Linked DNA regions of Caenorhabditis elegans. The protein of the gene in region 1 purifies or fractionates together with the protein of each later gene. This does not show direct contact. Each region holds a gene or a part of one and is shown on either strand. Other genes may lie near its edges.

Region 1 (4,008 bases):
CAATCTCATCTGGAGCAGAGTACTCTATGATTTCAGTGCACAAGTTGGAACACTTGATAGTTCCAAGATTTTGCTGGTTAGACTTGCGATTGGCGGCATCTTTGTAGGTGATGTATGGAAGCCCGGTCTCGATTTGGTTGGAAACGATGTGCTCCCAGAGCTTGCGGGCCTTCACCGTTTTGCGGACTCGTCCCTCGGCTTCGTATCTGGAAATTTTGATATGAACTTTGCAAATTTAACTTCACTGTTTAAAAGTTTTTGTTAGTTGATTTTTGTCCGGAGCACACCTTTTTTTTTGAGTATATTCCGGTTATCGATCAACTATTTCATATTCGAAGTTAGTAAACTCAGTCCAAGCAGTACTCTTAAAGTTCTGTCTGGATATCGCACTTCGGTAATTAAAAAAATAAGAACCAGGAGATACTTACTTGGCGTAAAGAGCTTCGAACTCCTCTCCCCAGCAATCATCAAGTCCTGGACATTCACATGGGCACATCAACGACCATTCTTGATCCTTCTCGACTCGCTTCATAAAGAGATCTGGAATCCAAAGAGCAAGGAACAGGTCTCTGGCACGTTCCTCTTCCGGTCCAGTGTTCTTGCGGAGAGATACAAACTCGAAGATATCGGCGTGCCATGGCTCCAGGTAAATAGCAAATGCTCCTGGGCGTTTGTTTCCTCCTTGATCAACATAACGAGCAGTATTATTGTAGACACGAAGCATTGGTATGAGTCCGTTAGATGTTCCATTAGTTCCAGCGATCACAGATCCAGTGGCGCGAATTTTGTGAACATTGAGTCCGATTCCTCCGGCACTTTTTGAAATAAGAGCACACTGCTTCAATGTATCGTAGATTCCGAGAATGGAGTCTTCACTCATTGTCAGAAGGAAGCATGAAGACATCTGAGGACGGCATGTTCCCGAATTGAAGAGAGTTGGGGACGCATGGGTCATGTAACGCTCCGACATCAGATTATAGGTCTCGATTGCGGAAGTAATATCATCTCCATGGATTCCAATAGAAACACGCATCAACATCTGCTGTGGGCGCTCGACAATCTCCTTGTTTATCTTGAGAAGGTAGGAACGCTCCAGTGTTTTGAATCCGAAATAGGTGTAGGAATAGTCACGATCGTAGACGATGGCGGAATTCAGCTTCTGAAATGAAATTTTTTTGAATAAATGCAATTCCTAGGAAAACTAACATCAGCATTCTTCTCAATGATAGCCCAAGTCTCATCACTGATCATTGGTGCGTGTTTTCCGGTATGAGGATGATGGAACTCGTGAAGGGTTTTCATAACTTCCGAGAACACCTTATTCGTTTTCTTGTGCAAGTTCGAAACGGCGATTCGAGCGGCAAGAAGAGCATATTCCGGATGTTGTGTGGTCATGGAAGCAGCAGTCTCTGCAGCAAGATTATCCAACTCAACAGTTGTCACTCCTTTGTACAAGCCACTGATAACTTTGATTGCAACAGCGACCTGGAAAATTTAATTCATCATTGAACTTGTGTTTAATAACAAACCGGATCGACAAAATCCATGTTCAATCCATAGCTCAGCTTCTGAATTCTGGAAGTGATCTTGTCGAAGTGTACATCTTCCTTTCGCCCATCCCGCTTGACAACATAAGTGCTGTTGTAACGTTGCATAACTGGAAAAGATGAATTATTAACAATTTGAGAAGAAAAGAGTGAAAATGGAGGAGCGGAGAGAATTTTCAAATGACCAGTTCATCTCAAATTTACTAGTTTTCGCGCCTAGGTAATAGAGGAACGCGCGAAAACGAGACGCAGACCAAACAAACGCGCTCCATCGGAATTCAAATTCAAAAGGAAAACGAATTATTGAAATCTTGGTCTCATAGAAAAAACAAGTATTACAGTGAAACAGAATACATTATATTTTCCTACGAATTCTGGCTTCAATATGGTTTTCTGATAGAAGTGAGCTAATGTCGAAACACACAAAATTGGCCTAGAAATTCAAACCGAAAATCCACGGTCCTGAGCATTTCTAACTACGGCAGTTTGAAATGAAATATTAATTCACAGCTGAAGAATTTCATTTAAACAAAAAATGTGTTTAGTTTTCTGTGTGAGGAAAAAATCTATTTATACCCTTCGGCACCACAAGCACCGCCTCTAACCATGGCTCCGCCCTTTAGGACAAGTCCGATAATCGCATTTCATTGCTCTGAAATTTAAAAAAAAACGTAAAATTCAAAATAAAACCACATAAAAATGCATAAGATCAGAAGAAACCCCGAAAATAAAAGCTGTAAAACACAATTTTGCCGCGGGTTACTGTAATGGTCTCGACACGAAATATTGTATTTAAAAACTTTATGCGTGCGCCTTTGAAAGAGTACGGTAATTTTTTAAAGAAAAAAACATGTTTCGATGAAATAATATTTATATTCAGTTTTTCCTTAAATTTTCAAACTGCGGACAAAAAAGCGTAGTTTTTTATTTTCTGATGTTTTGTCAGAGATCACTAAAATTTGCTGTCGGTCAATTCAGACAATAAAAAACCACCAGCTGTGATTGCGAATTTTCGAAAATTCGAAAAACGCGTATCTGTTGGCATGCAAGACATGACATAAATAATTTATTTTGACACAGATATATTCAAATGGTTAGTGACGAGATGTTCCATCTCTTGACTGCATTAATCCTCCAGTTATGAGCACTTCCACGCTATGGCTCTCCTCATCCGCATTTTTGTTGACAACATTGTATACCGCCTGAAAATAGATAAATGAATTTTAATTTTATAATTCTATAGATATTCTACTAATTTTCAAGAAAGTTACTCACACTAAGATCAACTGCCTCTGCAGCAGCATCACAGATTTTCCTCACAGTCGGATCATCAGTCATTTTCTTATCAAAAAGTACCGATGCACCATTCCAACCAACATGTGCAATATGTCTGAAAATAAACTTTTGTAAGTAATTAATAGATAAAAGATATCCAAATCTCACGTAAAGTTCCTTGGAAGACTAATCGAATCTGCAGACGTTTTAATTTTTTTGGAATTTCTGCCAGTTGGAGGTTTTCTCATCGGAATTTGTACAGTATCCTTCGGCTGCATCAATGACGGAAGTGGTGGTGGTGGAGGTGGAGGTGGTTTCGAAAGAAGAAGATTACGTGGGACAATCGGAACATTTTCTTTTTGGGTCAAGATTTGGTTCGGTATTGGAGTTGATGGAAGTTCAGGTGGGCAAGTACAAAATGTTCGCAGCTTATGTTCTATCATGTTTCGAAGTGGTCCAATTTTGAAAAATCTATAATGATTTATACTTTTTGCAATATTCTGATTTGTTCCGAACTTACACCGCTTCACGTAAGATTCGCATAAGCTGATATTCGTCTTTTGGCAATGAACATTTCTCATGATCTCTTAGAAAGTTGAGAATAACCGGAAATACTGAAGAATCACGGTCGATGAAGAGTCTACCATCCTGAAATAAGCATTCAAATTTTCCCAATCTACCGTAACCCCCATTCTTGCCTACGTCACAAATTGACGTCACAGGCACCCAACAACCAGTTGGTCATTGCTTTTGAACAGTGCGCTACGTCACACCAGGAGGAGGTCAAGGGAATGGTGTTAGTGGTTGTGGTGTCGGGTGAAAAGTATGGCAACGGGTGGTGGTGGAAAATTATTTGAATGATTCAATGGGCCTGCAGATGTTTGATGACGTAGACATATACGCAGAGTATTTAACACAAGGCATTGGGAATCTTGGGGAAGGTTAGTTGACCAAATGAGGTTTTATTCTATTTAATGGAGTGTTAATATATTTTATAACTGATGTGTTCAGAGCAGTTTATGCGGTTTTTAATTCTAAAAATACGGTACCTGGTCTCGACAAGCGTAAAGGTCTCGACAATACGAAACGAATGTGCGCCTTTAAAGAGTAATGTAATAAAATTACAGTACTTTTTGAAGACGCACACCCTTTTCAATTAAAAAAAATTGCCGCTCCGAGACAAAGT
Region 2 (4,008 bases), on another chromosome or scaffold:
AAAGCTGTGTTTTTTCTTACTTTTTGAAGAGAAAATTGTGTTTTTTTTCAGTTTTTTTTTGAGCAAAGCTAGTATTTTTAGAATTTCCAAAAATTAATATAAAACCAGGGCTTTTTTTTTGAATTTTTTGAAAAATTTTCACATCAAAAATCAGTATCAGGAGCATGAATAGGGTCTGTTAAAAAATAGAGAAATATTTTATTAATCGTTAAATATTTTCGAGTTCAAAAATGTGTGGAGGTGATCAAACAGAGAAGAAAAATCGATAAGTCTTTTTAAACTTAAAAGAATGCTATTTTACGATTAATATAATATTTTTTCTATTTTCTGACACTAAATTTTAATGGAATACGTCAGAAATAGCTGATTTTTTAAATGTTTTTATTGCAAATTGCCAACCGAAAGCTACGAACCTTCCACGAGATTCGGTCGAACCTCAAGTTCATACTTCCCGCCCTGGCCGAATGCTTTTCGCTGTTCACGCATCTCAATATGATATGATTGAGGATATACATGAAGAATTTGTGACAAATGTTCATTGGAAAAATCCTTTCCAGACGTATTCTTAACATTCTTGATCAACTCAGGAACCACACAGCTTCGATTCTGACCGATAAAGATCGCAGTGATCTGATCGATTCGTTTGAAAGTATCAGCGAGATGTTCATACGCAGTTGGAAGTTCAATCCGTTGACGTGCACTCTCCTTAACTTCATCAATAAGCCGTGAGCTCTTCAGAAACTCTGCAGTCATTCGTTTTCCCTCTTCTTCGTGAGCATCATCCTGCTCTCCGCGAACTTTTTCGGCCGATTTCAGGACATTAAAGCCGGGAATAATATAGTCTGGAACTGGCTTCTTCGGTGAGAACAGATTACGAGCGGCCTTGGATTTCTGAGGTGATTTGTGATGCTCAACAATAACTGGTTTCTTCGGAGATTTCAGCAATTCCACGTGATCATCGACCTGCTTCGTTTTGTTCTTCAAATTTTGCTCATGAATCGCTTTAGCTGCTCCTTTTGCAGCTATTCTTGCTTGTAAATCTGCAACAGTTCGAATTCCAGCCTTCTTTTTCGCTGGGCCGGATGCTTCCATTAGCTTATCGATCGCTGACTTCTGAGGAGCCGGATTTTCCAGAATAATATCTTCATGGATTTTGGGAAGCTCAGGGGCTTCTGCTTCAGCTTCTCTAGCTTTTTTTGGCGGAGTTCCGGAACTCGATAATTCCGCTTGACGGGATGGAGTCCGAGCGCGAGTTCGGGAGGATTTATTCTCGACGATTGGAGCAGCAGGAATTTGTACTTCTTTAATTGTAGTGGTCTTTGTGATGCTTTCATCGATAATCTTCTTTTCTCCTCTTGCTCTCGGTTTTCTGGTGGTCTGAAAAAGAAAAAAAAACATTAAATAATTGCAATTCATAACTTCAAACTCCAATTTACCTTGAAAAAGTCGGTTACAGCAGTCTGCGGAGTCTGGGACCTGGATCTAGTCACCCGGGAACTCATTTTTATCAGGAATAAATAATAATTTCAGCGAAATTATTCGCGAAAACCAAAAAATAAATGGGAGAGACGACAGACAAAGCGTACACTTTGAACAGTCCCGGTTTCCCGCACTTTTTGTCCATTGGAGCGCGTTTGTTGTCCGCTGCGTCTCCACGCTTCGTGCACTCCCTCGCCGCACCGGCATTCATTTTGAATGCTGACAAATCCACGTTTCATGCCGATTTTCTTAATTTTCCGGAATTTATACTATTTTTTGCATATTAAAATTGTGTTCAGAGCGTTTAAAAGTGCTTTTCACCTATTTTAGCGTGTAAAATGCCCAAAATTACCCAAAAATCAGTTTGAGAATGAATGCATTTTACTGTGGAAACCTTCAAAAAATCTTTTTTTTAATGAATAATTATTTAAATTGGCGTGATTCCTATATTTTTTGAAATTTTTTTTTCGTTTTTTCTTCTGAATGAGATATCTTTTGCTCCTAGAACTATAAACTGAACAATTTTGGAAGCGGTGATCCCAGAAATTACAATTTTTCGGTCAAAATTTCCCCAGAAATCGCCCAAAAAATAACGAAATTTCACAATTTCTGCGTATTAAATAGCTAAAATATATTCGTGCATTGTTCCGGGAGTATTTACAATAGCTTTTGCCAGAAATCCCAAAAAAAATGATGCGAAAGCTTAAAAATTGGAATTTCAGCGGGAAAAATTCAACAAATTCAACTACAAAATAACAACTTTTTTCAAAACCCAATTTTTTTCTTTAATTTTTCTTTAGATTTTGGGGATTTTTCCCATTTTTTGAGATTATTTTGCATTTTTCGATTAAAAATCCGTATTTTAAAGGTGGCGTAGTCGAATTTTTTTAAAATTGCTTCATTAGACTCAAAATTGTCTCAAAACACCGAATTTCATGATGAAACTGCTTGAAAACTTCTCAAAAAAAGTTATGACTGCTCAAAAAATGGCCTAAAATTAGTTAAAATTTGAAATTTGACCGACTTGTCAAGCGGCTGGAAACTAACTTTTTTGAAATTACCGTCTAATTTTGAGTATACAATTATATTATCTTGCATTTTCAATTTGATTCAGATATTTTGAAGTCGATGGACGGCGAGATTTTTAAATTTTTTAAACCAAATCTCGCCGTCCATCGACTTTAAAATACCTAAATCGAGTTGAAAACGCAAGATAATTACATTTTATATATACTCAAAATTTGACGGTGATTTCAAAAAAGGTAGTTTTTAGCCGCTTGAAAAGTCGGTCTAATTTCAAATTTTAACTAATTTTAGGCCATTTTTTGAGCAGTCATAACTTTTTTTGAGAAGTTTTCAAGCAGTTTCATCATGAAATTCGGTGTTTTGAGACAATTTTGAGTCTAATGAAGCAATTTTAAAAAAATTCGACTACACCACCTTAAAAAAATAAGTGCAGTAATCTAAATATTAAATTAATTTTCAGCCCATCTCCCCTACACCATGCCAGTTATCAACGTGAAAGACGACGAAGACTTCAGAAATCAGCTTTCCCTCGCTGGTCTCAAGTCAGTGATTGTCGATTTCACTGCAGTCTGGTGCGGACCGTGCAAAATGATTGCTCCAACATTTGAAGCTCTGTCCAATCAATATCTTGGAGCAGTTTTTCTGAAAGTTGATGTGGAGATCTGCGAGAAAACCAGCTCAGAGAACGGTGTCAATTCGATGCCAACGTTCATGGTTTTCCAGAGCGGGTATGGGTCTCATCTGGAATTGGAATAGAAATGCGGGAAATTTGAAGAAATTGCAAAAAAGTGAAGTCTCAGAAATTATTTCATTTTGAATATCTTGAAAATATTGATTTTTGCAGGTTTTACGAGCCAATTTGCAAGAAATTTATGAGTTTCCAAATTAAATTTTTTAAAGATAATCAAAACAGGGCTCTGCCATTTTTAATATGCTATAATCCAACTTTTTGATCTAAAATTGATATAGAAATGTAGAAAAAATTTATGTTCCATCTGAAAATAATATTTATTTTTGTTGAAAATTTTGAAAAAGGCCTCAAATGGTGCGAGGCCTATTTCAAATTTTTCAAAAAAAATAAATAATTTTTTCACATGGAACAGACCTTTTTTAAATTACATTCCTATATAAAGTTTAGATCAAAAAGTTGGATTATAGCATATTGAAAATTGCAGAGCCTTGTTTTGATTAATTAAAAAAAATTTAATTTGGAAACCGATAAATTTCTTGCAAATTGGCTCGTAAAACCTGAAAAATCAATATTTTGTGGATATTCAAAATGAAATTGAAAAGGCTTTAAAAGCTTTACCCTTAGTAATTATTTCTGAGACTTAATATAACATTTTCGATTTTCCGGAAAATCGGAAAATCGAAAAAAAATCTTTTTCTGACAATAAAATAAACTTTATTTTTTACTAAATTTTGTTAATGTTCCTGAAAAAGAACATAAGAGAACATACATTTTTTTCTAAAAAGAAGAAAAAAAAGAAAAAAAATTGAGCT
Region 3 (4,008 bases), 3.2 Mb from region 1:
AATTACGTTGTTTTAAGCGATTTTTATCGACAAAATTCGCTATACGAAGCAATAAACTTTTGGCGCGCTGAGACCCATCTGAATACATCCATGCGCCTTTAAAGGTGGACTACGCTCAGTGGGGAAATTGCTTTAAAACACGCCTATGGTACCACAATGACCGAATATCATGATTAAAAAAATTCAAAAAAATTTTCTAAATTTTATATGATTTTTTGAAAATTGAAAAAATCTCAGTTTTTGCCTAATTCCTGTTTGAATTACCGCCAATTGGATTTGTTCGATGGAGCGCGCTTGCACGTTTTTAAATTCATTTATTTTATTTTTTGTTATTTTCCACCAATTTTTTAATGTTTTCGGTGTATTTTTGCTCGAATTTTAGAGAAAAAGTCAAGATAAATGCAAATTTTCGATTAAAAAGCAAACGTACAGGCGTAAATCAGTGAAATTAATTAATTCAGGTTCGAAATCGTTTAAAAGCGTTACTTTTCCATTTTTACGCTCGTAAGCGTGCTTTTTAATCGAAAATTTGCATTTGTCTTGACTTTTCCTTCAAATTTTCTGTAAAAATACACAGAAAACATGAAAAATCGGTGGAAAATAACAAAAAAAAATAAAATAAATAAATTTAAAAACGCGCAAGCGCGCTCCATCGAACAAATCCAATTGGCGGTAATTCAAATAGGAATTAGGCAAAAACTGAGATTTTTTCAATTTTCAAAAAATCATATAAAACCTAGAAAATTTTTTTATTATGATATTCGGTCATTGTGACCCCATAGGCGGGTTTAAAGCAATTTCCCCAATGAGCGTAATCCACCTTTAAGAAGGCAAGTCAAAATCTTGAGAAAATACGACAATATTAGGTAGATTGGCAATTTTGAATGAGAAAAATTAACGAAAAACCGTGAAATCCTGCACGAAAATAAATTCGCGATTGTCCACGCACAGTACACGAGCTCGTTAAAGGGACATTGACTTTTCCCAACATTCTACCTTTCTCATAAATGTGTGCGGTCCATATTCTTCGTTTGAAACTTGCTGTCTTTCTCTCAAAATCGCCTCTCGATTATCACACGATTGTGCGTTGATAATCGTATTTTCGTGTGTTATATGCTGATTCATCGACAGCTCTCCACAGCTCAGCGACGACGTGGTGACGTTCATCATTTCGGCAGAGCCTCCGAGCACAGTGCTCTGATCGTTTACAGATGATCCGGATCCTCCGGAGAAAATCGACGATTCGTTGGGCAGATAGTTCACATTCACAATTGGCTGGGCGAATTTGATGCGGCGAGCTTCGAAATCCGACATTCCGAGAGCGATTTCGGGAGCACTTTTCGACGATACCGCTACATTTGGGCTTTTCATGGCTTGTGCTCCAGCCGGAGTACACAGGACTGCTGGACGTGTCTCTCCGATCGACATTCGTGGAGATCTTCCCTTCATATATGCTTCTTTCGGCTTATTGTACTGTGATTGGTAGTCATATTCGTATTCATCGATTTCTTGAGCCAACATTGAGAATCTCGACGTCTTTTTGGAGCTTGACTCGTTGACTGTGGCATCTTTGAACGAATTTAATGAATTTTCAGCGTTTTCCTTCATATTTGGAGTTGTCTCCTTTGGCTCTTGAGGGTGAAAATGCACTGGAGTTGACGGGCCGTCGTTGCATTTTGAGGAGCTTCCGAAGACTTTTGTTGGAGATGCAACTGAAAATCAAACATATTAATTAATATATTTATATTTCTGTATTCTTAAAAACCCCAAAATATACCTTCTTGCTTCACAGATGTAATTTTTGAGGTCACTGGCCCATTCTCCTTTGCCACCTCTCCTTCGCCTGACATTTCGGCTTGCCGAACTCGTATGCGTTCCATTAGAGAATCGAATTGATCCCCCATTGTATTTACAGTGTAGTTCTGCAAGAAAACAATGTTTCCAAGAAAATCTCATCAAAACTTGCGAACAGTTTCAACGAATTCGTAAAACGACGCACTTTTCGCAGCTTTTCTTGTAGAAAATAATTAAAATTGACTAATACGCGTTTATATCGGGCAAAATTCGTGGAAAACGTGTCAAAAAACAGGAAAAATGTGAAAATTCACGTCAAAAAATCGAAAAACGTTTAAAATCGAGTTGCAAAATTTGAATACATTGTTTTGGCGGCAACCAGGTCTCGACGCGTGGTGGGACCCACGCGTGAAAAAAAACGCGCCTTTAATCCCGCGCATCTGCGTCTCTTCTTTTCGCGTGCTCTCTCTCTCTCTCCCTCTCGCGGGATTTCGTCAAAATAAAAAAAAATTTCGAAAAAAATCATTTATTCAATTAATATTTACAAGAAAAAGTGCCATATTAAGTCGTGTGAGCACCAGAATTATTGCAACCTGCATCAAAAATTCGAAATTATCACAATATGATTAAAAATGATTTAAATTTTTAAATTTATGCCAAAACTGCGTTCTCGTCTTGCGCAGGCTCTTCGTCCTCATCCTCCAGCACAAGACGTCCGTACTCTTCTTCGTCGGATTGTCGCTGTAAATTAGAGGAAATTGAATTTTGCAGAAAACCAACAATAATATAATTACCGAATAAACAATGATTACAACAAAAACGGCAAGCCAGGCGATAAGACCAAGTGACAAGCTGATAACACCTCCAATAAATGAATAATGTTTTGCGTTGAAAATATTAATCAGCTGATCACGAGTTCCTTGATCGAAATACGCAGTTTCGTTCATCCAAAGGACTGGAACAACGACGTTTGTCGTGTTTTCGGTGACACTGAAAAATCGATAATTATTAGAGATTTCAATTTCGTAATAGGTAAACCTCAAGGATCCCTTGACCATTCCCACATTAATCTGCATAATTCTTTTCGCTTGAGTTGGAACGCCGGCAGTTGGCTCAATATCTACAACAGTCAGGTCATTTGAAGCAGTTGGCACCGAGAGCCCAGTGACGGAATGCCACAGCTCCATTGGTGAGTTGTAGAAGTGTGGATTGGATAGATAGACACGTGGATTGCCGGCTTGGCATCGTGACAAGTCGATAAGACCGGCAGGGAGGCAGTTTTCTGGAAAAATTAATATTAAAATTTAAATTTAAATTTACAATCGAATTTTTTAAAATAAAACTCTCTCTCTCTCTCTCACCAATTTGCACAGTAGTATTATCAAAATATCGCGGCATTCCATTCTTATTACAAAATGCTCGATTCTGCGGAAGAGCAGGATCGTAAAGATCCAAAGGTGGTGCATATCTCCACGAAGGAACCCCATTCACAGCGACATCTTTTGTGTATTCCATTTGAATTGATCTACATATTTGCGGCACAAATATCGTCAATCTGTCTTCTCGTTTCAGCATCGGACTGAACAATTGTCCATCGGTTCCGTTAATCATTCGTGCGTATTTAGTATCCCATGTTCCTTCGGGCATTTCTGTCATATTATTCCACGTGTATAAATGACCGATTTTCGATGGAGATGGCACGCCAGCATCCACTTCGTATATTCCGTCTGTTGTTCCATTTTGCTGAAGAAAAATCAATATTTTGGAAGGAAAACCGTGCGGCATGGTTGCGCAAAATTTGGCTCCGCCTATTTTTCTGTGCGGCACCTTGCAAACTCATATCTTACCCCATAAAAGAATCCAACTCTCCGCTGAAGAGAATTCGTTTCGCAGAGGAATTGAAGAATTTTATTTTTACAAACGATATCGATTATCGGGTCTTCGTATCCGTCGAATAGAGCATCGCTTACTTTTACCTAAAATTTCACTATTATATTACGGAGAGCACAAAATTCCGAGAATTGCGTATTGCACAACATATTTGACGCGCAAAATGTGAAATATCTCGTAGCGAAAACTACAGTAATTCTTTAAATGAGACTGCTGGAGAGTTGTCGATTTACGGGCTCGAATTGAAAAAAATTCGAGCCCGTAAATCGACACAAGCGCTACAGTAGCCATTCAACGAATTACTGTAGTTTTCGCTGCGAGATA

The links.
Region 2: the proteins of rnr-1 (region 1) and cdt-1 fractionate together in Caenorhabditis elegans (co-fractionation; one large-scale study listed by BioGRID). This does not show direct contact.
Region 3: the proteins of rnr-1 (region 1) and ani-1 fractionate together in Caenorhabditis elegans (co-fractionation; one large-scale study listed by BioGRID). This does not show direct contact.

Annotation. Positions count from the first base shown.
Region 1 is NC_003281.10:9,226,594-9,230,601, forward strand, and holds the start of rnr-1 (Ribonucleoside-diphosphate reductase large subunit), read right to left. Parts: upstream 1,658-4,008; 5' UTR 1,656-1,657; coding exon 1,530-1,655; intron 1,486-1,529; coding exon 1,207-1,485; intron 1,160-1,206; coding exon 429-1,159; intron 382-428; exon of another isoform or gene 257-381; intron 207-256; coding exon 1-206. Other genes in the region: T23G5.3 (uncharacterized protein), read right to left, coding at 2,642-2,749, 2,823-2,937, 2,991-3,293, 3,343-3,470. UniProt on the Caenorhabditis elegans protein: Provides the precursors necessary for DNA synthesis. Catalyzes the biosynthesis of deoxyribonucleotides from the corresponding ribonucleotides.
Region 2 is NC_003279.8:3,226,466-3,230,473, forward strand, and holds the start of cdt-1 (CDT1 Geminin-binding domain-containing protein), read right to left. Parts: upstream 1,640-4,008; 5' UTR 1,503-1,639; coding exon 1,437-1,502; intron 1,378-1,436; coding exon 414-1,377; intron 1-413. Other genes in the region: txl-1 (Thioredoxin-like protein), read left to right, coding at 2,983-3,233.
Region 3 is NC_003281.10:12,451,281-12,455,288, forward strand, and holds the start of ani-1 (Anillin-like protein 1), read right to left. Parts: upstream 1,923-4,008; 5' UTR 1,905-1,922; coding exon 1,778-1,904; intron 1,713-1,777; coding exon 997-1,712; intron 1-996. Other genes in the region: scav-3 (Sensory neuron membrane protein 2), read right to left, coding at 2,446-2,535, 2,589-2,784, 2,833-3,076, 3,156-3,537, 3,642-3,770. UniProt on the Caenorhabditis elegans protein: Required for contractile events in embryos that occur prior to mitosis, such as cortical ruffling and pseudocleavage. Promotes membrane ruffling by organizing cortical patches of septins and myosin II. Not generally required for cytokinesis in mitotic cells.